3 linked regions of the Lepisosteus oculatus genome follow. The protein of the gene in region 2 interacts with the protein of the main gene of each other region in a pairwise test. Links are inferred from orthologs where the notes say so. Each region holds a gene or a part of one and is shown on either strand. Other genes may lie near its edges.

Evidence for each region.
Region 1: the proteins of fxr2 (region 2) and morf4l1 interact in binary tests that used the Homo sapiens proteins (3 or more experiments, as listed by UniProt). The two-hybrid records come from large-scale screens. The link is inferred for Lepisosteus oculatus from reciprocal best matches to the Homo sapiens genes FXR2 and MORF4L1.
Region 3: the proteins of fxr2 (region 2) and lcp2a interact in binary tests that used the Homo sapiens proteins (3 or more experiments, as listed by UniProt). The two-hybrid records come from large-scale screens. The link is inferred for Lepisosteus oculatus from reciprocal best matches to the Homo sapiens genes FXR2 and LCP2.

The regions. Positions count from the first base shown.
Region 1 is NC_090700.1:48,885,986-48,893,812, forward strand, and holds the start of morf4l1 (mortality factor 4-like protein 1), read right to left. Parts: upstream 3,050-7,827; 5' UTR 2,927-3,049; coding exon 2,887-2,926; intron 1-2,886. UniProt on the Homo sapiens protein: Component of the NuA4 histone acetyltransferase (HAT) complex which is involved in transcriptional activation of select genes principally by acetylation of nucleosomal histones H4 and H2A.
Region 2 is NC_090698.1:11,918,162-11,925,907, reverse strand, and holds the start of fxr2 (fragile X mental retardation syndrome-related protein 2), read right to left. Parts: upstream 3,067-7,746; 5' UTR 2,550-3,066; coding exon 2,499-2,549; intron 1-2,498. UniProt on the Homo sapiens protein: mRNA-binding protein that acts as a regulator of mRNAs translation and/or stability, and which is required for adult hippocampal neurogenesis. Specifically binds to AU-rich elements (AREs) in the 3'-UTR of target mRNAs.
Region 3 is NC_090706.1:29,680,444-29,688,033, reverse strand, and holds the start of lcp2a (lymphocyte cytosolic protein 2a), read left to right. Parts: upstream 1-4,541; 5' UTR 4,542-5,679; coding exon 5,680-5,757; intron 5,758-7,590. Other genes in the region: putative ammonium transporter 1, read right to left, coding at 2,715-2,804, 3,548-3,614. UniProt on the Homo sapiens protein: Adapter protein primarily involved in signaling pathways within T-cells, as well as other immune cells such as platelets, mast cells, and natural killer (NK) cells.

The sequences.
Region 1 (7,827 bases), on a different chromosome or scaffold from region 2:
TGTGCTCATGATACAAGGGACAGGGTGCAGTAAGGTAGGCCGTGGCCCCTGACTTGTCTAATTTCTATACCGTCTTCATATACGGCAAACTGAAACCAAACTTGCCGACATCAATGAGGCTGGTGTTCTTTTAAATCCGAGTGTCTGTTTAGAAAAGTCTAATTTCCATATATGTATAGATGCAGTACTACATACTTGTAAAACATCCATACACATTTAAATATAGCTTACAGTGAACTGTAATCTGCTTCAAGATGGAAAGACTGCATAATTGAAACCTCTACATGCAGGCACTTCTCAGACATTCCTTTCACCATAATTCGTTCCTTTAGTTCACCAGCTAATTACATGCACAACATTCTCACTTCCAGTGGAAACCTGGCGACTTATCTATACAGCTGGACATTTAGTGGAGCATTATCAGTGAAGTACCTGCTCAAGAGTACAAAACCAGTCCCACCCTGGATTTGAACTCATAACCCTCCACTCAGGAGACAAAAACCCTAATCATTATGCTGCTAACATACAGACACACTGCCTGTACATTTCTTAAGACAAATATTAACCATATGGGCTACGCACACACTATATTCAGAACTATATTTCAAGTAAATGTACCCAATACAAATATACCTAAGTCTTAAAACATCATGCAGCCTTCTTATTTTTACACAGTATTTCTAGTTGGATTTAATTTCTTTCTTGGGTTACTCACATTGCATTTAGCCAGCAGTTCCCACCATGTTTCTATTCAGGCTAGATGGTTCGATTGACCTGGTGTCATTTGTAATTGTACTTATGCTCTTACCTTTAGTTGATTTGATTGCTTACGACTTCGTTAATTTGTTTCTGCCTTCGGTATGAGTTTAAAACATACACTACTTTAAATACAGCATACTGTTTTCAATAACGTCAGCACAAAGAGCCTCTCCTGCATTGCTTACACTTGTTTTTCTCTGAACACCTAATAAGTCATTTATAATGAACTGACAAGCAAATATGACACTGACTTAAACTCTCCCACTAAGAGCTTTTTTCCCCCTTTTTCTAGAGATCTGATTGGTTACATTCCAGGAAACAAGAAAATTAGGGAGTTTCAGACATTACTACAGGTCTGACACCAATTACAAATTCCATTTGACCGTTTAAAATCTGAAAGCAAATTTAAAAATGGCCCCCAGACAGAAAATAAATTAACTGTTCTGTGATTAAGAACTCAGAGCACAAACCACAAGAGAGTTTTCCATTTGGACTAGGATAGGGAAACTGATGCAAGCCTTATGCGGATAAGCCTTACTGAGTGTACTAGTGCTCTATGGCTGCCGTCGCATCATCCAGGTGGGGCTGCACATTGGTGGTGGTGGAGGGGAGTCCCCATTACCTCTAAAGCGCTTTGAGTGGAGTGTCCAGAAAAGCGCTATATAAGTGTAAGCAATTATTATTATTAATTATTATGGTTCCCAAGTTTAAATAATGTACTGCTAAGAAAACAAGATACACCTTAGTGTATCTTCATGTTTATAAGAGTGATTAAGTACCAGAGACTCACCAAGGTTTACAAAGCACTGCTAATATCTAGCAGACAGTTGTTGCTTCCTAGTTGCAAGTTGATTGATGTTAACTTTAGTTCGCAAGACTATCACAGAACACTAGATCTCTTCACACAGACGCAAAAAACTGGAGGGTTAACCGCTTACTGGGACCCCTTTTAAAAGTATTAGGTCACTTAGTTTCAAATCGAACAGAAAGAAAGAGCCGACCCTAGATTTTTGGGCTACGCAAGTGGCACGTTTTGGCAAGCCACAAGACTTGAATGCAAATCTGGGTTATTGTACTGTTTTTAATCAAGGATTTAAGTGCCCATTGGTAAACTCTTGCTGTGGTACATGTCAGGAAGGCCTACGACTCACTGAGGCTTCTGAAGAAATACCTTGGTGTGAACCTTTAAATTGTCAGAATATCGCATGCAGGTTAAGATCAACAAAAGAAGCTGCATCTCTCTTTCTCTCGCTACAGCTTCGAAGAGGTAAGTAGTCGCTACATAACTATATTTAGTTACACCGTGCTGGCACAATGTGATATTTCTGTATACAAACGTTATGTGAAGAAAAAGCGCGACTTTTCCACATTACAACTTTTTACTTCATGGCAAAAAAATGTAAAACATTGTTTGCTGAAATATCAAGAAAAAAATTAAAATAATTACCTTAGCCAAAGAAGGACGAATTATCAGAGCAACGTTATCAAACCTAAGTTAAGAAAAGTATATATGAAAAGCTGATTTGCTCATAAATTAGCATTACTAACAGATATTAATGTAAAGGTCGGAACTTATTTCAGATACGACGAGAAGCATCGATTATATTCGACTGTTTTAAGGGACAAGAAATATGGTTCTCAAGCAGGGTTCGACGAAGAATACGCTCAAACACACGGTGACAATCAAGACTCAAAGTCCAAAATTAAATCTTTTAAGTTTTAGCTGAAAAACTCATTGTTCTCCTTACATTACTAATTACAGACACAAACAAAAAGAAGATATTTTATAGCCTATTTTTTCTTCAACGAAGACAATAGATCACTCTACTTGAAAAAGACTAGCTAGCTCATAGATGTTAGGCCTTTAGAAAAATGCACCCAATAAATCTGGGAAAGTGAACATTTCGCTAGCTAAATTGCTAAAAACAAAAATCCGCCCTGGCCCTTCGTAGTTTTATTCCTTTTTGAACAAGGTTTTAATCTTTACTTAAGCGCGTTTTTCAGTTCTGCTATCTACACAAACACCGTGGAGTGACTGCAAATCGCCGCCCTACCCCTCAGTCACACACAGGGCGAAACGCAGGCCTGCTTCCACTCCAAAATTTTACTGATTAAATCGTTCCTTACCTTCTTGAAATTTAGGCTTAGGGTCCTGTTTTGGCGCCATTCACAGATTAAACTATTAAAATAACTGAAAAATCAAATTTAAGCATCGCCAGCTCTGAATTCACCCCGACACAGTGAAGGCGCCGCTCTGCGTCACTAGAGCGACGCACAGGAATTGCGCGCTGCGTCAAATGACCGTGTGACTCGTTTTCTATTAGCGCTAGGTTCCGCCCTTCGGATGTCTATTTGGAAAAAAAAAACAGCTACACTAGCTGGGCATCCTTATTATCAAGACACTGCATAGCTTTTCCTTGTTCGTCCATCTGGAACATGTGTTAATATTAAATCTTCCAAACAGTAACTGCTATTTACTAACGAAAATATGCCCCTTTCTAGATCGGTTAACTACATTTACAAAGAGACAAAGAATCCTGTCAGATACGTAGAAATCCACGTGCTGTCACAAATGCTAGATTGAATAGATTTTTTTATATATTTTGCTTTGCAAGACGCGTTTGCCTTTTAAGTCTTCTGAATGAGAGTAATTTGTTTTCTTTGATAGAAAGACAATTATCCGATAGCGTTGATTAAATAACAAATGGTCATAGCCTACTTTTAATCACAACCTCAGGAAAATAAAGTGAAGTGTCAATGTTGTCACTCTGCATGATCTTTAAATATAGATTTTGAAAACGGGTAATTCGCTCCCTATGCTGGAATGGACTGCATTGCATCCTCTAATACACACAGAACAACCCGTATTAGATAACCATGTGAATGGACAGAGTGGATTGCCAGGGTGAAATCAAAGCTGTGTCTGTGGAAAACATGGTCACTGACCCTCACTTGGAAGGTGATGCCGAAATCTGACATCCTGTGGCTTTAGTTACCCTGCCATGGTGTGCCTGCAGCCTCTTTTTGGTACTATGTGTAACGGAAGCGTTCTTTTAGGACCCTATGCAGACGACATGATCCGGGGTAGAGTGAGGAAAACATGGGGAAAAAGCTTGCGGGAGTCGGGAATGAAAACAGGGGGCGTGTTCATGGAACGCTGGTGTTTGGGGAAGGTGTGGCCGAGGCAAACAATCCAGAAAGACGTCCAAGAGGGAATCCAAGAGAAGGCGAAAATCCAAAACCGGACGGTCCATCCAAGACAAACAGAATAAAAACAGGAACCGGCAGGAACAGGAACTTAAAAGCTTGACGGGACCAGGCACTTCCAGGTCCCAGACTCGCCTGGTACAGAAACCAGTGCAGAGCCCGGAAGACAGTGAGCGCCCGGCTTTTATAGGACGAGGGGCAGGAACCGGAGGCAGGTGCAGGGGATGAGTTCTGAACAAGGAAGGGCTGGAGTGTCCTTAAGAGGAGGGGGTCACGATCGTGACACTATGGGACCTGATCAGCCACAACTACTAGTACTTAGTCAGGCTGTGGTTCTCCCTCCTGATGAGGCACCTGCTCCTGTGGTCAAACACGGGGCCAAAAGCAGAAAAGCAACCAGGAATCCACACCCACGCTGTCAAGAGGAACCAAAGATACGAGACCATGACATGGCCAGAGCTCTGCACCACTGAGCCCTATACAAGGAGCAGAGGGGGGAACTGGTTCACAATTGCTAACCCCAAATGAGACCTGGGAGTGGACTCAACTCAAAGAACTGGAAAACAAGCTGGAGGACCTCAAATGGAAGGCTGTGCAGCCGAGGCTGGTGACCAGAGAGGACCTTGGCAGACACTTGATGACCAGGAACACACACTGCCCCTAGGACACGTGTTTTATCAGGAGACAACGGAGCACATGTTCTGGATTTGCCCCTTCACCAAAGTGGTGCATGGAAGAATGGAAAACACTGTACGACTCCTGGGAGTAGGAACAGTGCTAAGCTACCAGTGTGCCGTGGCAGTGAGTGTCCCTCACAATACTAGGACTGTGGAATGTGAGGAACACTGTCATCCAGCACAACACAAAGTTGGGAGTGAGGATCCTGGCAAACGTCAGAGGCAGAATGAAGCGCAACGTAGCCGAGTGGGCTTTCTCCGCAGCAAAGGAGTGCTGGAACTGACTGTGTGCACCGCTGTGCGAATCCAACCATCACCACCACTTGCTAAAGAACTGTGTAGCAAAGTAGCGGTTGGAAGAACGGGTGAGTCATCAAGGGGCGGAGTCATTGAATTCAGGAAGCTAAATTCTTCGGATTCTCACAGGGAAATCACGGGATTGGCTGTACCTGGTGACTTCAGATCCCTATATAAGTGGTTCCTAAGGCTGACCTCTAACCTCAGTCACCTAAAACTGCGAAAACGATGAAGAATGACTTATTCATGCAGGATATTTTAGAAAATAACTGCTATACCTTGTGACGGAGGCCTACAGCATTCTTATTCCATCTCTTTAAAAAAAAAAAAGAGGCTAACCAATTGGGAACCTGTCTATTTTTGTATGCAGGTTTAAATCACTTGGCTTTTCTCGAATGTATATCACGTAAACTGCAAAATTATTACTCCCCTAGGGTCTCCACAGGTTAGAACGGAGGAATTACTTTGAAGGCGACAACAAATTTCTAAAAGTAACTGTGCAAATAGCGGAAACCAGCAATCTTTCCAGAATGCATACTGGCTCTTGTTTTACAGAGACATTGAACATTTTAATTCATGTTTTTTTTTCTGTTGATTTGATTTATATTCAAAGCCGCACAACACCATAATAAATGAAAGTGCAACTGTGTAATAGGCCAGCACCCGAATAACATTTATCAAATGGGAGCTGCGAGCGGCAGGGGAAAGGTTGCTGTATTGTGTGCCCATAAATACTGCATGTACATGTGCAGTGATGTGAGCGCAAGAAACAGTCGTATTTATGAAAGAAATCGCCTCTGCTGTTCTTGCATGGAAATTACTTCCAAATCCTGGGTTAAATGTGCATTAAGACACGTGCGCGTAAAGAGATGCTATTTTCAACCACGGTGGTATTTCGTGCAGAGCTTTTACAGGTATGTTTGCAAACTTCTCGTGCCCACGAAAAGTCCTGCTGTGCTCGATCTCCAGTTACTTTGTGTCTGTAGGGTCAGTGCTGTCAGCCAGCTGCTTTTTCTTGACTGACGCTTGTATTCGCATCACACAGGTAACTGTGAAAACTTTTGTTTTTAAATGTGATTCTGGTATTTATGCTTATGGCTGTTGAAGCGCGTCACGCACAGATCTCTCTTCTTTCGAGGCGAAGAAGCGCGTCCAAAGAGACAAACGCACTTAAATCAATGAGTAGCGGAGCCGTTCCTTGACTGCTTCCAATGCGCGCTATTAGAAATGGATGAACACGGAGAATACAGCGCGATAGTGGTCACAATGGGACGCGATTGCGCGTGTGCATGCTAGTTTCTTGAAAACCTCGGGTCTTTTCCGTCTTGATAGTGTACTTACGCCGGCGGAGATCATTTTCAGTTTCAGATGGGGTGGTGATGGTGATAATTATAACAGCACAGTAACGTTAATAACATCTAGTTAAAAAACAACGACAGTACCCGCAAGCGTAAGAGCCTTCTTGACAGCGTGAGGCAGTGGCATCCTGTTTGTATTTGTGCAGAGAATGCGCAAACAATCCAATCTAATTGATGGATTAAAGCCTTCTTCACTTTTAGCAGGTTCAGTTTGCTGCTGTTGTACAGCTAAGAAGTTCGTTTTCAAAGCTGACACCTTTGTTCGTAAATATTAACTCATAATACAGGTATGGGCAGTGCGTATATTCCACTTGAGTGCTTTCAGATGGCTAGTGGTTAGTGGTTTTTCAAATAAGTGTTTAAAACAAACGAACCACGCGATTTAGTTTCCCGATTAATCCGATGCGCTTCAGGTAGACTGTCTTGATTCCTGCTCTGTTTATTGTGCGGGTGTGTGATAAGGGAAAATATGTATAGGATATCATCCTTGCGGAAAACAATCCAGTGTTGTTAACCATCAAAATAGGTGATGAATCCGGTATGAGATTATAAGAAATGCCACCTCCCATTCACAGAGCTTTTTGCTCTTTATTGAAAGAATTGTCATATTAATGGTGCGCGTCTGTCTGAAAAGGTACCTTCTCGATTCTGTGATCAAACTGGTAGCGCACGATCCTATTGAAATTCACACCAACTGGGTTTCATAATCCCAGTAAAGAGGGGGCATGAGAGGTACAAGCGGAAGAACTGTGAAGTCGGGATTCGTGATGTCATGCCAAGTTTCAACTGAAACGCTGAGCAGAGCGCTGCTACGCCTGATAGTTTCCAAGTCGGGGTTTGTGCTGTGAGATCAGTGAAACCATTATGTCACTAGACAATTCAAATATCCATCACCACAACTCGGGCCAATGAGCAAGGTAGCCTGAAGAAGTCCCTTTTGATAAGAGGTGAGAAGTTTTAATGCCACAATAAATTCACTCTGTGTGTATTACACCATCCTCTTACTGACATCTTATGGTTTCTGGCAACTGCCAAAAGGTCTCATGTCACCATTCTGCAGTGGCACAGTCACCAGACGCGGTCTGCAGGAAAATAAAGGCTGCGATTGTCTTCCACGTCGCTTCGATTCTTCGAGCGATAATCGAGTTATTTCTTTAGGGAATGCGTTTGTGCAGATCTAGGCCAAAATACGGCTTTCGGCCAGATGTAAGGGAGTACCATGTTGAGGTGGTATCACGCTGCCACAAGACGCAGCACCCGAAAAATAATATTGGGATCGTTTTGAACAACTGTTTGTAGGAAGTAAATGTTCGAAGGACGTATTTGGGATCTGATAAAGTCCAGAAACCAGCAAAACCATGGCCCGTGCAAAATATAACGAGTCCGTTTTGCTATATTTAAATATACTTTTTATTTCTCGTCAAATAAACAAGGGCCAAAGGGAGTTCTTTGGGCGATTCGCACTTTCAAAGACTACACATTTTAAGGACTCTTATAACATTTATTGATTTGAGTAGATTTACACCTTC
Region 2 (7,746 bases):
TGAGCATCAAGCAATCTCTTCTGCCTTAACGCACATTCAAAACCATCGCTGAGCATCTATAATGAACGAGTTAGCTGCCCAGAACAAGAATGTAACAGGGGAAGCACTAAGAGACACCGCGATCGCTTTAAAATGACCCGACATTGATTTTTCACCTAATTCCACATCAATACCCACAGTGACTGGTCTGGCTGGGCATTAACGCTCCAGAACTGCACAGACCGGTGACTGCAGGGCAGACAGGCACTGAGATCCACCCCACCCATCGCTTCATCTTTCCTGCAGGCACAAGGCCCGATTTCCAAACCAAGGGGAGCAGACTGCAAGAGGCAAAATCCATCACTTGAACAGAGTGACGGAGCAGGAGGAGGAAAGCAAAAGGGAAACCGGAGCGCAAAACGGAGCAGATTTGGAAAATTCCCCAAAGCAGTTTCAGCAAACTCATTTCTGCGATGACACGATCAGAACAGTTTGAGCATAAAAGCCATTTTTTTTCCCCAACAGGGAAATTCACTGCCATTTCTAACACCAACAATAGTAGCAAGAGTAACATTGCCACAAAAGTACATTTCTAGACTTTTTAATGCAGAATTATGGCAGCACTTGATCAAACACTGTTTAGTGAGAAAGTTAGTCTTCTGAAGCTCTCTGTAGGATATCACAGAAGTACTCTTGCAAACTGACGCTTGCCTTTTTATTCCAGGCCTGAAAACTCAGGACTCACTCGGCACTAGATTCTGTTTAAGGGCAACAGGGTAATGGGGATAAAGCTCTCCACCCCACTGCAGGACTGCCAAATTCCGAGCCGGAAAGATCCAGCAGATACCATTCTTAATGGTTTCATCACATGGGCTCACACCAGCCTGAAAGATGAGCACTGGCTTCCGATGAATCGGTACAATTGGTATAAAGTCGGAACTTGAGGTGAAACGCAGGCCTTATTTCCTATTGTGGGATTTTAAATTGGCAAGAAACATCCAGAGCTGATTGTGTAGAAAGTGCTAGAAAAGGTCAGCCTTCTCATTCAAAGGCTTTTTTCCTTAGGAAATTAAGCATCACTGCTTATTAGCTCAACCTGCTAAGATGACACGAGGTAGGCAGTAGGGAAGACATGGAGAGTCCCACTCCTGGAACGATGCAATCCACTCCCAGGATTTACTCTGAGTTCCTGTCATCCAACACCAGGCCATGTTTCATGCCTGCCACCCATATTTGGAGGAAACTTTGGTGTAAGCAGTTCTGTGACCAGCGCAGGTATGTGCAAGAACTGTCCGGTGGCAAAACCCGTCACGGATCAAACTGCTCCACATCGGCGGTCTAAACGGTCCAAAATAACGAACAAGAGCCTAGGTTAACAAAGGCACAAGGTCAGAGTATGGTCTGGGAGCTGCGAGGCAAAACCAGAGACAAAATCTTAATTTAAAAACCAAATTCTAAAGCCACTCCACTCAGGAATTTACACTACATGGTGGAATACTGGCACCTCACAGCAAAAATACTGTATACTGAAATTATCTCGTGTGCTTCTCAGCTCCCAAAACCATGGGGTGGTAGAAAATTTCTATATCAATCTGCTTGAAAGAGTTCCACTTAAGAAACGGGAATGTTCCACAATGTGACACCGCCTGTTACTTCAGTATGAATCTTTATCGATAAGTTATCGATACCTACAGCGGTGTGCCAGTACGTGGTTTCAGGACGCTGTGTTACATGTGGCTGAGATTGCAGTATTAAGCATGGGCTTTCAACACGAAGTGTGAAAGGTTGCAACTTCTGTCCCTACTGGCGTCTCGCAATAGGCTTCCAGTGTCTGTGGTTTAGTCCTTGCAGTGGGATAACTGGTGGGGTGACCAAACACGAGCTGAAAGCAGTATTTCCAGGTATAAACAGGAGAAAACGAGACCGACGCCAGGACTACAGCTGCAGTTAAGGGAGAAAACCAGTGGCGTTCCCCCAGAGGACCAGTTCTTGAACACCTAACCTGGAGCGACCGACTTCTCCGACATGAAGATGCGCTGATCTGCGGGTGTAAATGCAGAACAAAGCGAAACCACCGCACCTTGGCGAAGCTTTGTTTATATCATGGCGAAATATAAAAGAAACGCACCGCTACGAGCGGACAGCAAAGTGAAGCCATGTGGATTGTGTTTTTCGTGGCACGCAGGTGTGAAGCCGAGATCGCCGGTAGGAACACGGGTTAGGAACTACTGCAGGTCTAGCGCGTTCCCATGATGAGGATCTGTCACCTAAAACCAACGCAATGAAGCTGGAAATGATTTGAGCTACCGATTTCATGTTGCACGGGAAAAGGAGGCCAGGACGGGACCTCGCCCGCAGAAAGAGCGGTCACCCCCCCCCCAGCCTTCCCCAGACACCCAAGACCCCAGAAAGATACAAAGAGCCGTGCGGGCCTGGACGCAAATCACCGCCCAATCCGACACAAACAGAAGCCTTGGGCTCCCTTTTTCAGATCGTCCCCTGGCGTTTCCGATCGTTACCTTGTAAAAGGCCCCGTTGGAGCCACGGACCTCCACAGCCAGGCCGTCCATCCTCGCCGCCTCACGGAACCCCCGGTGCTCCTCCCGCTCGCCGGCTCCCTGTGACTCCGGAAGACCCCCTCGCTGCCCCGGCCTGCCACCGCCGCCGCCGCCGCTTCCCGGCCGCTTGTGGATTTCCAGTGTCCCGGGGTTTAGACGGAGAGAGGGACGGGATAAGTGAGGGGAGGGGGGGTGGGGGGGGAGAGAGTGTTCTGGGTGACGCCGGATCTGGGCGCTGCTAAATACGCTGTCGAAGTGCTGGTCGGATGCAGTCACACTCCGGGGACGAGAAACTCATGCAATCCGCCTGCGCTCCTGATGAGCTCGGGGTCCGACACTGCTGGCTCAAGGCGACGCAAGCAACGCTGTCCGTTTGTGCTCTTCAGCTTTTCATGGGTGGCAACAGTGGGGTGATTGTAATGTATTTAGTGTAGTTTTGCCTCCTCCCCAGAAGCTGGCTGCGCTACCGCAGGTGAGCGCCACAGCCCGTCCCCCAAACCGCACGCCGACAGAGTGAGCCCGTGAGGCCCTGAATGACCCCCAAATCCCTCCTCTCCGTCACACACGGCCCGCCCATCCACTCACCCTCCTCTCCTATTGGCTCAGATCCACGCCTTTCAACAGAATTCCCTTTTCACACTAACTTCCTTACACATCCCTCCCTCTTGCCCTCCTCGGTAATCGACTCTGCAACTCTCTTTATTGGATATGTTGGTTGTCAATCAGCGCGTATTCTCGATGTGATTGGGTTACTCCATGTACATCCTTTGATTCTTTGACGCTAGAGATGGTCGAGTGTTTCATTACCGTAATTCTCAGTCAATAAGCGCAATTCATGAAGCATGGTTCCGGTAATACAATACTTAAGAGTAATTATAATGATCTATATTTATTGCACAGGATATACATCTTTTGTAAGTGTGTATCCGTTGTGTGCTAAAGAAACTTTTAGGGTTCGAAAACATTTACCCTTTCGAGTTAAAATAAATAAATAAAACAATAAGCTTAACACTTTTAATGTAAAAATATATGTGTAAATAACGTAATTATTTAATATTGTTAAGTTCTGAAAATGTATCATATTTATTATCAGGTTAAATATACAGCTATTTATGGCGTTCATATAACGCATATTGTTTCCCGTCTTTTTTTTATAAAAGGCACTTGAAGCGTTTTAAAACAGCAGTTTTCAATTACATATTGGAAGTGTCCTAGAAACGAATTGCTTTGTTTTTTTATGTGAACAATAAAAAAAGGTCGCGACTTTGGTAAGAATGAAGTATGCTCACTCTTATTTCTGGACATTGCCTCTGATTGACCGTTTTATTTATTTTCCCCTCGAACAAACAGAGCCCTATGAAAAAGCTAAGAAATATTTCTAAGGTCTCACTGCGGGCTGTCACAGAGCACAGCAGAATCTCATTGTGTGAGGTGTAACAAAAATGCCATCTTCCCATTCAGAATTACAACACAACAGGAGTGTAAATTTCTGGGGTTTTGTAGACCACAGCGGAAGACTTTATAAATCGAGAGTAAAAAATCTGCACATCCTGTATCATAGTTTGCAAAGGAACAAATAAAGGTTCATTCCATGCTGAAAAGAGAAGAAAAGAAACAAAACGTTTCAACCTTTGTGTTTGTTGTGTTTCTTTTCTTCTCTATTCAACATGAAATAAACCTTTATTTGTTCCTTTGCAGCTGACACATACTGACACAGCTACAGTACCTACTTGAACTGTATCATAGTTCTCCATCTGTCTGTGTGGACTAGTGAACATAGAAACGGTTACAAGACCAGAGAGGAGCCCAGTTGGCACATTTGGTAGTTTGTAGTTATATGATCCCAGGATTTCATCCTCTTCTTGAAAGAAACCAGGGTATTGGCTTCAACAACATGGATAGAAGGCTTGTTCCACACTCCCACCACCCTTTGTGTGAAGATGTGCTTCCAGGCCTGATTGGAGGATCTCAACCACCTGTTTTGGGGGAAAAAAAGGGTATCAGCCTCAACAACATGTCTGGAGCAGCTTGTACCATACTCCCACCACTCTTTGTGTAAAGAAGTGCCTTTTGTTCTTGGTTTTAACAGCACTTCCAATAGTTCCCTCTGGTTTGAGTTTCACTGTTTCTTGGATCCATCTAATACTCAGATCGATCTGGGTTCAAGACTTAAGAGGTTGAGTTCCTTCAGCCTGACTGCTATGGTCAGATGTCCAGAGATGGCTGTTGGTTACAGGAGGGAGTGCCCTAGCACATGACACCTGTGCTACACAAAGAAAGAGAGCACTGCCATTACAGTTCCTGCCAACTATTGGATATAAACCCTGCACATGTGTGGATTCTAATAATCTGGCTTCTCCACAGATATCCCAGTAGATCCACTTACTGAATGCTCATAAAATCACCCAAAACAGGACCGGACAGTCAATTTGTGACCGGATCTCTGCAGGTTTTGGAGAACTCGGCACCCCCTTCCAATCCCAAAGAATGACCATGTGGCCAGCCTCTGTCTGCACCTCTTAGCTGACTTGAAGGATTGTCTCTTTGTGCACTGTGTCTGGAATAAACAGGTATGCTTTCCGAAAACAAAGCGTCAGTCAGCACTTGTCAAGTCTTCGTGTCACACATAGCCCACATCTACTTCAAGATGAAATCCCTTTATATGTGTGTCAGCCAGGATATGGGCAATGTCTGAGGAAATGGATACTGATAATTTAGTCTTTGAATCGAGGTGTGCCAGTCTTGATTGCTCTTTATTGATGTGTGGTCACAGACAAGGCTATGGTTGACTTGTAACACACCTGCCCCTAGTGTCGGGTGTATTTTGTGCTGCTGGAAAGCACTGCTGAGTCCAACTTAATAATTACCTGTCTCTCCAAAGTCCTACTGTCCAAACAGAGCAGTATTTTAGTATTATTAGCAGCATTTTTGATGTTCATTTTGCTTTTTGTAGTTGCTGTTTTAATAGCCTTTAACTGAAGAGAGACAGTGAGCCTGACTAGTGTCCAGGTTTCTTTGTTAGCACATCTTGGTGGGATATAAATGTGTCCAAACACTGCAAAATCAGATTTTTATATATTATTATTATTATTATTATTATTATTATTATTATTATTATTATTATTATTATTATTTCAAAGAGATTATACATTCAGATCTATGTATTTAAAAACATTTATTATTTAAAATCCCCATCTGTGGTACATTCATAATATTTAAATTTCCTAGTGAAAACTGACGCTGAATATTTCCTAAAAAGTTAGGGTTTTATATAATGTATACCTTTACTACCACAACTATTGCCACCCCGTGTTGGAAACAAGGTTTATCATTAATTTAAAAAAGTATTAATTGATTATTAAAATATAAATATCTCTCACAGGAGCCTCGTCTTAATTTATGGAACACCCACAATCAGTGCTAGCAAGTAATACCAACCAAAAGTTGAGACATTTCAGTGGGCTAACTGGAGTCTGATACAGTCTGCCGATTATTTGATATGAAGCTGCATATATATATATACAAAATGTATTGTGTATATTTGACACTTAAATCCATTAGACAGTTTTAGAGTGGATTTGCTAATTTTCCAGGAAGATAAAGGGCACCAGGTTAAAATGTGCAGGAAAGTGAAAACGCAGTCCCCTCAAGCTCATTTTCTCCCGTGGGAAGGTCCCTCTCACTTGTCCTGTAACACAGAATGCGTCTCGCCCAGTGATTGACGTCAGGCAGGTGACAGGACAGCTGTGTGGCACCGAGGACCCCAAAGTGACATGTTCAGCTGTCACAAGGGAGAGCTATTTTTACCACCTGCCCTGACTGCACAATTGGTGGGCCATCTTTATCATGTACGTCTTCTGTTACAAATGGTGTGTTTGGACAGCAGCTTCAGCGTTTTTTCACGCTCCATATGTGTCACTCTTCTGGGGAAGCACAGCTTAAACATTTCTCCAAGCAAAAATTCAGTTTCGCAGGGGAGCATTATTTTAAAACCAACTCTAAAACCATTTTAAAACCAAGTCTAGGTCCATGTGCATTCACTCCCTTAAACAGTATGCAAAGCATCCACTAAAATTCTTTAACGTTATAAAATGACCTGTAGGGACCTCTGCTGTCCAGCCTTTGCTCACAAATATTAAAGATTTCAGGATTTTCACAGAAATATTTTAGTCCTTCCTAATGCGTTTCACATAGATTTTTAAATCATTGTACTGTAGATCCACACAATCATACCTATTTAGTTGTACTTTTTGTAGATGGATTTTGCATTTTACAGTAAATTAATCTTGGTTAATACAAATATCAAACACATGACTCTAAAAACTTTTCAGTTTGAACATTTTAGTTTGGTAGTGTATTTAAAACCAAGAGGAGGAGGTATTTCTTTACACAAAGAGTTATGGGATTGAGGAACAAGCTGCCCAGCCATGTTGTTGAAGCAGTCAAGAAATGACTGGATGAGATGTTTGGAACAATATACTACCAACAACCCAACAGGGAAGATGGGCCACATGGCCTCCTTTTACTTATAACTTTTCTTATATTGTTCCTATAACTAAAAAGTTGCAGCAGTAATTTGGTTGATATCTTTATTCAAAACAGCTTAACACAATAACGTTATGAAAAACGCAATGCATAAAGAATATAATAAGAAGCCTGCATGTGTAATTATTATAATAAAATTGGTTTATCCAAAACAACTTGTAACAATTTTTTAAAAAAGCAACACATCATGAATGTACTTTAAAATTGCATTCAATTTCTGAACAATATGCATAGTAAGACAATTAAATAGCTCATTTGGTTTTAATTTGATACAGTAATGAATTAGCTGCCTAATTAATACCCTGATGCAGTGGTGCATGGCTCTTAATCAGCTCCTCTTTCTTGCAGAGTCTCTCTGATTCTTATCCATTCACCTGACAGGGGGCTCCCAGGCTGAGGTCGTCTGAGCTGAGGGCTCTCCAGCACTGATGGCTTTAAGAATAGTTCAGCTTTGTGTGGCTCACCCAGCTTCTAGCAACCTCATAACCCAGGATCCCCTCTTCTGAATGATCCTCAGTGACTCATCACATGAGTCAGCAGTTTCTTCCACAATCTGTAGTGTGCCTAAATTTAGATGGATGAAGCACAGCTGTCTGGCCTCTGTTCATGCCCTTATAAGAGTTTACTGTGATATTACTGTGTGTAGTAAAACTAAAGAGGGTTA
Region 3 (7,590 bases), on a different chromosome or scaffold from region 2:
CTATATCAAATGCCACACTGATCTGCAAAAACAGGCTTTAAGCTTCGCTCTCAAGTGGAGCTGTGAAGTTCAGGATTAGGTAGAATAAATCGGAGAAAAATCCTGAGTAAGAAGATATACATTTGTGTACAATTCTGCTCCCTTTCAGAGCTCTCAGCTGAGACTCATTACTACACAGCCAGGAGTGTCCTGGTAAGAGGTTCTACAGCTCAGTGGGGCGGAGGACACAGGCGAATGGAAGTCAGGACGAAAGCATGTCTTTTTTAACTTGGTGATTACTTTGTGATTTCTCCTGATGTCCTGTAGATTCAACACTGCTGTGACTACACTCCTTACAAAGCTCTTTACAGTTCCAGCCTAAAGGATCGAGTAATCTTAACAAGCACCTTTGTTTCCCAGTTTTTAATAAGGCTGATCTGCTTGAGGAGATTGGGCCAGTGATCACTTTTCTGACGAGAAACAGACTCCTCTAGAAAAGAACATTCTGCTGGACTTAGGTGACTTCACACTACCCACACACTGCATCTGTTTTTCCATTCTTTAAGATGGTTGGGAAGGATGATTTAAACATCCTTCTCAGAACTCTAGACAACGCAAGGGAAATGGCTGATGCACCAAACCAGTGTTTCACTCAGGAGTTCACAAAGAAAGAAGTCAGCAACATGCCCCAGGCAGGAGCAGGAAAAAAGTACTGTATTAAATATTATTACCATAGAAGAGGCAGGAGGATTTGGGGAAGTAGAACCAATCAAGATTAATGCATCCCCAGGGACAGATGGTATCTTACCAACTGTATCCAAGGAAACAAGAGATATGATTCAGAAGCCACTGGCACAACTGTTCCAACAGTCACCAGACAGGTGTAGCACCCAGGGACTGGAGAGTTAATCATGTAGTACCCTTCCATAAAAAAGGCGAGAAAACTGAAGCTCGTAATAACAGAAGAGCAACACCAATGTCTATTACATGTAAAGTAAAGGAAACAATTATCACAACTGAACTAGAGGATCACACTGTATGTAAGGAAATAATATCCCAGGAAATAGTTAGCATTAGTTTAGAAAAGGAAGGTCTCGCCCGATCAATTTGTTAGATACAAGAACAAGAAACAGCAGCAATGGACTCACACAGACCATACAATATTCACTTCAGAGATCTGTACTAGGACCACTGCTCAGCCGAATTTATACCAACTGTCTACATTCTACTATAGTTCGCAAACTAGACCAGAATGCAGACAACACCATTTTCATTGTAGACACAAGTGAAATTCACAAAGATTTAGATCAAATTCAGGACTGAGAAATCTGCTGCCAGATGATATGTAATGTACACAAGTTCAGGGTTCTGTATGCAAATTGTAAAAACAGAAATACAAAAAGGATACACTACAACACATTGAGACAGAAGAAACTACTTATGAAGAAGACCCTGTTTATATTGACACCATCTTCTAGCCCATATGGGGAAGCAGTAAAAAAGGCAAACAGAGTTAGTATATTTATGTAAAATCTTAGAGTTCCCATCAAGGGATGTTGTGTCAAAACTGTACAGCGCATTTGTTAGGATTCATTTAGAAAACCATGTACAATTCTGGTTACCAGAACACATACACTCAATGATACGATGAGACAGACAGCCTGTCAGACCCACACAGACAGGATGAAGAACTGAATCCATACACGCTTCCCAAATCTTCCAAGACACTGATACAGTCAACCCACTGGACTTCTTCAGAATCAATAGTGAAACGCCAACTAGAGGACATCCGTGGTATTTAACACTGAGAACAGGAGGAACTTCTTTAAACGAAGGGAGCTGGGAGTGTGGCACAATCTACCCACCCACGTGATTAAAGCTTATACCTGGGTTTCTATCAATAAACACCTGGATGAGACCCTGAAGAACTCTGTACAAAAAGGGAGGTAGGAGTGTGGAACGAACTTCCCACCCATATTACTGAAGCTGACACCCTGCACCAATTTCAAGAAACAGCTGGATGTGATCTTTAGATCGATTATTCCTTGCAGAAGTATTCAGATCCTTTTTTATCTCTCCTTTTGCCAGCTTCTTCATCTAATTCAGGGTTGTCGAGGAACCGGAGGCTATCCCTGCAAGCAACAGGCAAAAGGAAGGTACACACTGGACAGGACGCCAGTCCATCGCAGGGTACACACAGACACAAACACACTCACACCACGGCCTGTTTTCCATGAACCCAATTAACCTACCAGCATGTCTTTGGAATATGGGAGAGCACCTGAAGGAAACCCCACAGAAACACAGGAATAACATACAAACTCCACACAGATAGCACCTCAGGTCTGGGATTGAACTCAGGACCTCAGCTGTGCAAGACAGCAATGCTAAACACTGCACCACCTTCCTTCAGACTTTACAGACTTTACAACGTGTCCAATGTTCTGAAATTGCAAAATACAGTAATGCAGACATTTTTTTTTAATTGACGAAGTGTAAACTACACATTAAGATAAGTTATAATAAATCTCAGCAAAAACTAAAAAGAACAAAACACGACTGGTTAATTTCTCAAGCATTCAGATATATGCACTCAATACTTTCCAGAGTTTTTTTTACACATTATTTGGATACCTCAGACACTGTTTAGGAACATGTTGGCCCTGTGTCTGTGTGAGAGCGAGGGACACAGAGGGACAGAGACACCGTGGCCCGAGTGATCAAACTGTACTCACAGGTATCTGCTGTGTTTTTTAGGAACACATTTGCAGTGTGGTGAGGATCTGTCTTTCCGGCTTCCACAAACGCAAATCCAAACTTAAAGACTGTGAAGAGGGAAATAAAACACAAAAATAAGTGTTTGAGGAAAAGATATCGTAGGGCTGCCCTGATCCTGGAAGGCAGGTGTAAGTCTAAGTCTCCCCAAGAGCAGCAGCAGTTAAGACTTGTCATGTTAAACCCATTTGCAGCCTGACTTTAGTCAGGAATAGATGATTGGGAATAATGTCCAGACGCTGCAGCCCTCCCGGACTATACTGAAATATATCCTTACATCGCTATAAAGTACGAAACTCTTAATGTCGTTTTGTTTTACCGATCGTTTTAGTACAATATCAGTACTAAAATACGAGATAGTTACAGACCCAACACTAGTAAAACCAGCAATCTTCTACCATTAATCTAATAATTAGGGCTAATTACTCCATGCTAAGTCATTTTTTAGGAGCTGTTCGAAAAACAGGTACAGCATTTATCGTGGGTAAGTTGCAGTTAAGCTCTTTGATTTGAAATACGCGCACTTTATCTGACTGAACATGAAGCGCTACTTGGACAAGTATTTAAAAAAAGATTCCGTTAGAGAACAATGCGGGACACGCAGTCGCGGTAACCCAGCCTTTTTAACAAAGAAATGCTAAAAATGTCCTCTGGGTTACCGGTCTCCAAGACCTTCAACCGCACCTCTCCGGCTGAAGAAGCTGGGACAGGTTTCATACTTTATCATTTTCAATAAAACATTGGCCAACTGGCGTCTGGTGGGAAAGGTTCTCCCAGTAGCTACTCCACTTACACAGCACCCACACGCCGCACAGCACGGTGAACACGTCATTGACCGACTCCAGATCCACGGCGCCCATTTTCTACCAGCACACTCGTACGCGGGCGGTGACCTGAAATTAATTAATTGTGTGAATGAGTCGCCTCTCTGCGGCTACGCGCCACATCAGCGCTAACATCCGTCCGTCAACCGCCCCTGCCGCTCGAGGCCGCTAACGGCCGCACTTCCGCCGGCCGTCCACGCGCGAAGTCCATCGAGGTAAGAGTCACGACGTCGACAATTCGTTTCAAAGTAAAATGTATTATAGTTTTTTATTTTAAAAAAAAACTTTAAATGCCTGATGGCGAGCCTACATAATACAAATACAATCACGCTCCCATTTCTTGAATTTCATTTTCTACAAAAATGGACATCCAAAAACATCCAAAAAGCAACAGGAACTACAGTCAAGTTACAGACAGGTGCGAGAAAACGTTTTCCGTCTAGAGAACAGAGACGAATTATGGGAATGTCAACATGAATTCAACTCTGGCCGTCTCACAGAGATGGAAACCAGAAGAAACATAGAAAACAGACAAACTATTGAAGTCAGTTTGTTTACAAATTCCAAAAAACAAGATACTTCTTTTACAACTGTTAAATTCTCGTAGTTTATCTCATATGAAAAGGCAATGGCTACTGATCGCCGTGCATGAACGCCGAAGCAATGTCCATATGTGCTGTTAGAGTCCGCAGAGGAGAGGGCCAGCGGCCCAGACCAGACCGCCTGTAGGGGGCAGGGTGGCTGACTGGACTCACAGGCCGTTCTCAGTGCCGCGACACAAACAAGCAATGAGAGTAACAGCTGTCTCAGTCTGTCCTCCCCACTCTGGTCTTGTACAGTTTCTCTCTCCTCCCCTGATCTGTGTGTCGTGGGGCTGCAGGAGGACTGAACCCCACTCTGGTCTTGTACAGTTTCTCTCTCCTCCCCTGATCTGTGTGTCGTGGGGCTGCAGGAGGACTGAACCCCACTCTGGTCTTGTACAGTTTCTCTCTCCTCCCCTGATCTGTGTGCCGTGGGGCTGCAGGAGGACTGAACCCCACTCTGGTCTTGTACAGTTTCACTCTGCTCCCCTGATCTGTGTGCCGTGGGGCTGCAGGTGCAGAACAGTGTCACCCAGGTGGTTCTGCAGTTCTGTGGTGTTGAAGTGGGTTCCCTCCTGTGTGTGGAGCTCTATACAGTACATGCGAGGGAGCCTTTTCACGAATAGTTTTTTTTCATTGTTTTTTTTTTTTTTAGTCTTAGCAATATCGGCGTCACAGCAGCACATGGAGGAAGTGCAGCCACCAGTTTCTGAGAAGAGCCGAGGGCTACAGCCCTGGTGCAGCACAGGGGGACGGGGCAGTTCCTCCTGCAGTCTTGCCCACTGTGTTGCGTCAGGCAGCCATGTGCACCATATAGTCCTCCCTGACGGTCTGAGGGGTCCTACACAGGCTCAGAGACTGTGCTCAGAGACGGGGCCTGTGGTCCAGTGGGCTCCTTAACGAGGGCTGGGTTTTTATTAACAACCCCCCCCCACGCAGCACCACTCGCTTGTCGGCCGGAGGATTTTTCAAGAAACTCAGGAGGAAGTAGTGAATGACGCCATTTGTGTTTCTTCGAAAAGCCTCGCTTTCGTGCCGTCCGCGTCGTCTCAGTCTGTGCAGCAAGAAGGGGCTGTTTTCTCCCCCCCCCCCCCACCAGACCCCCCCATCCGAGGTTGACAGCCCTGGTTTCGCAAGAGGAAGATGTCAGCATTCGTTCAGTCTTGAGCGCTTCCTTCCTGTCTCTCTCTCTCTCACTCCCTCGGTGTGAGCTGTTTGGTGCGGGCTCGTTCTGCTGCACAGTGCGTGCAGGCCATCTCTCTCTCTCTCGCTCTCTCTCTCGTCGGGCACCTCACTTCCTCCGCAGCGCGGCGACGCCAGAGCTCAGGGCGTAGCAGCGAAGCCGCGGGAGCCATTTTCTTGGGGCCCTCTCCATCCAGCATGCCGAGCAGGAGGTAACCGGGCAGGAGGACGCGGTCGGCCCAGGCTCGCTCGTTGCCCGTTTTTCGGCTTCTCCTTCTTCTTCTTCTTCAAGGGACTCGGATTCGGAGCGGAATATCTCGCTACGTGAGGGGAGCAACATGAGTTTCGACCAGCTCCCTAGCCGGACTGAAGTCCTGGGCTGGAACGCCAACAAGCTGGCAGAGTACCTCAAGTCGGTGAGTGCGTCAGGCCCGACCCCGGCGCTCTCGGGTTTGGTGCGGGCTGTCCGGGGCTTCGGCACGCGAGACCGGGCCCGTGGCCCTCGGCTCTCGCGCTCAGCCCAGCTCCTGGGCCTGGGGGAGTCAGTGTCTCTGCGCTTGGTTTTTTCGTGGGAGAGGACGATGATCCAGATCGCTCCCTTTCTGGGGCAAACCCGCCTCTTGTGGTCAGCTGCTCCGTCCACTTGGGTTGTGTTGTCGTTATGGAAGCCTTGTCTCCAGTGAGTTAGCGTCGCCCGTAGTGTGCTAGCAGCGTCGTCTCCAGTGTGCTAGCAGCGTCGTCTCCAGTGTGTTAGCTTCGTCTCCAGTGTGTTAGCGTCGTCTCCAGTGAGTTAGCAGCGTCGTCTCCAGTGAGTTAGCGTCGTCTCCAGTGTGTTGGCGTTGTCTCCAGTGAGTTTGTGATGTCTACTGTGAGTTAGCGTTGTCTGCAGTGAGTTAACTACACCATGTTAGCGTTGTCGACTGCATTAGCATTGTGTACAGTGAATTAATGTTGTCTCCAGTGAGCTGGCATTGTCTACAATGTGTTAGTGTTGTCTGCTACCTTAGTTTTGTCTGCAGTGTGTTAGCGTTGTCTACAATGTGTTAGTGTTGTCTACTGCCTTAGCGTTGTCTACAGTGAGTTTGCGTTGTCTACAATGTGTTAGCATTGCCTACAGTATGTTAGTATTGCCAACAATGAGTTCACATTTCCCACAGCAAGTAGGCATTGTCTCTAGTGTGTTAGCATTATTTGCAGTTTGTGAGCGTTGTCTTCAGTGAGTCAGCATTATCTTCTGAGTCAGCATAGCCTTCAGTAAATCAGAGGTGTGTTAGCGTCGCATGCAGTGTGTTAACATCACTCACACTGTATTAGCCTTGCCCACAACAATTTTGTGTTGCCAACAGCGAATTAGCATTGTCTGCGATGAGTTAGCGTTACCTGCACTGTGTTAGTATCACCTGTCAGTGAGTTAGCATTGCGTACAGTGAATTAAGCATTGTCTACAGTGTGTTGGTGTTGTCTACAGTGAGTTCGCGTTGTTTACAGTGAGTTAATGCTGTCTGCAGTAAATCGTCATTGTCTCCAGTGTGTTGGCGTTGTCTCCAGTGAGTTTGTGATGTCTACTGTGAGTTAGCGTTGTCTGCAGTGAGTTAACTACACCATGTTAGCGTTGTCGACTGCATTAGCATTGTGTACAGTGAATTAATGTTGTCTCCAGTGAGCTGGCATTGTCTACAATGTGTTAGTGTTGCTTGCTACCTTAGCATTGTCTACAATGTGTTAGTGTTGCTTGCTACCTTAGCATTGTCTGCTGCATGCTAGCTTTGTGTGCAGTGAGTTAGCGTTGTCTACAATGTGTTAGCATTGCCTACAGTATGTTAGTATTGCCCACAATGAGTTAGTATTTCCCACAGCAAGTAGGCATTGTCTGCAGTGTGTTAGCATTATCTGCAGTTTGTGAGCATAGCCTTCAGTGATTCAGAGGTGTGTTAGTGTTGTCTGCAGTGTGTTAACATCACTCACACTGTATTAGCCTTGCCCACTGCAAATTTGTGTTGCCTACGAGTTAGCGTTGTCTGCGATGGGTTAGTATCACCCGTCACTGAATTCGTATCACCCATCAGTAAATTATCATTGCCTACAGTGAGTAAGCATTGCGTACAGTGAATTAAGCGTTGTTTACAGTGAGTTCATGTTGTCTGCAGTAAATTGGCATTGTCTCCAGTGTGTTGGCATTGTCTCCAGTGAGTTAGCTTTGTCAAAAGTGTTGACGTTGTCTCCAGTGTGTTGGCGTTGTCTCCAATGTG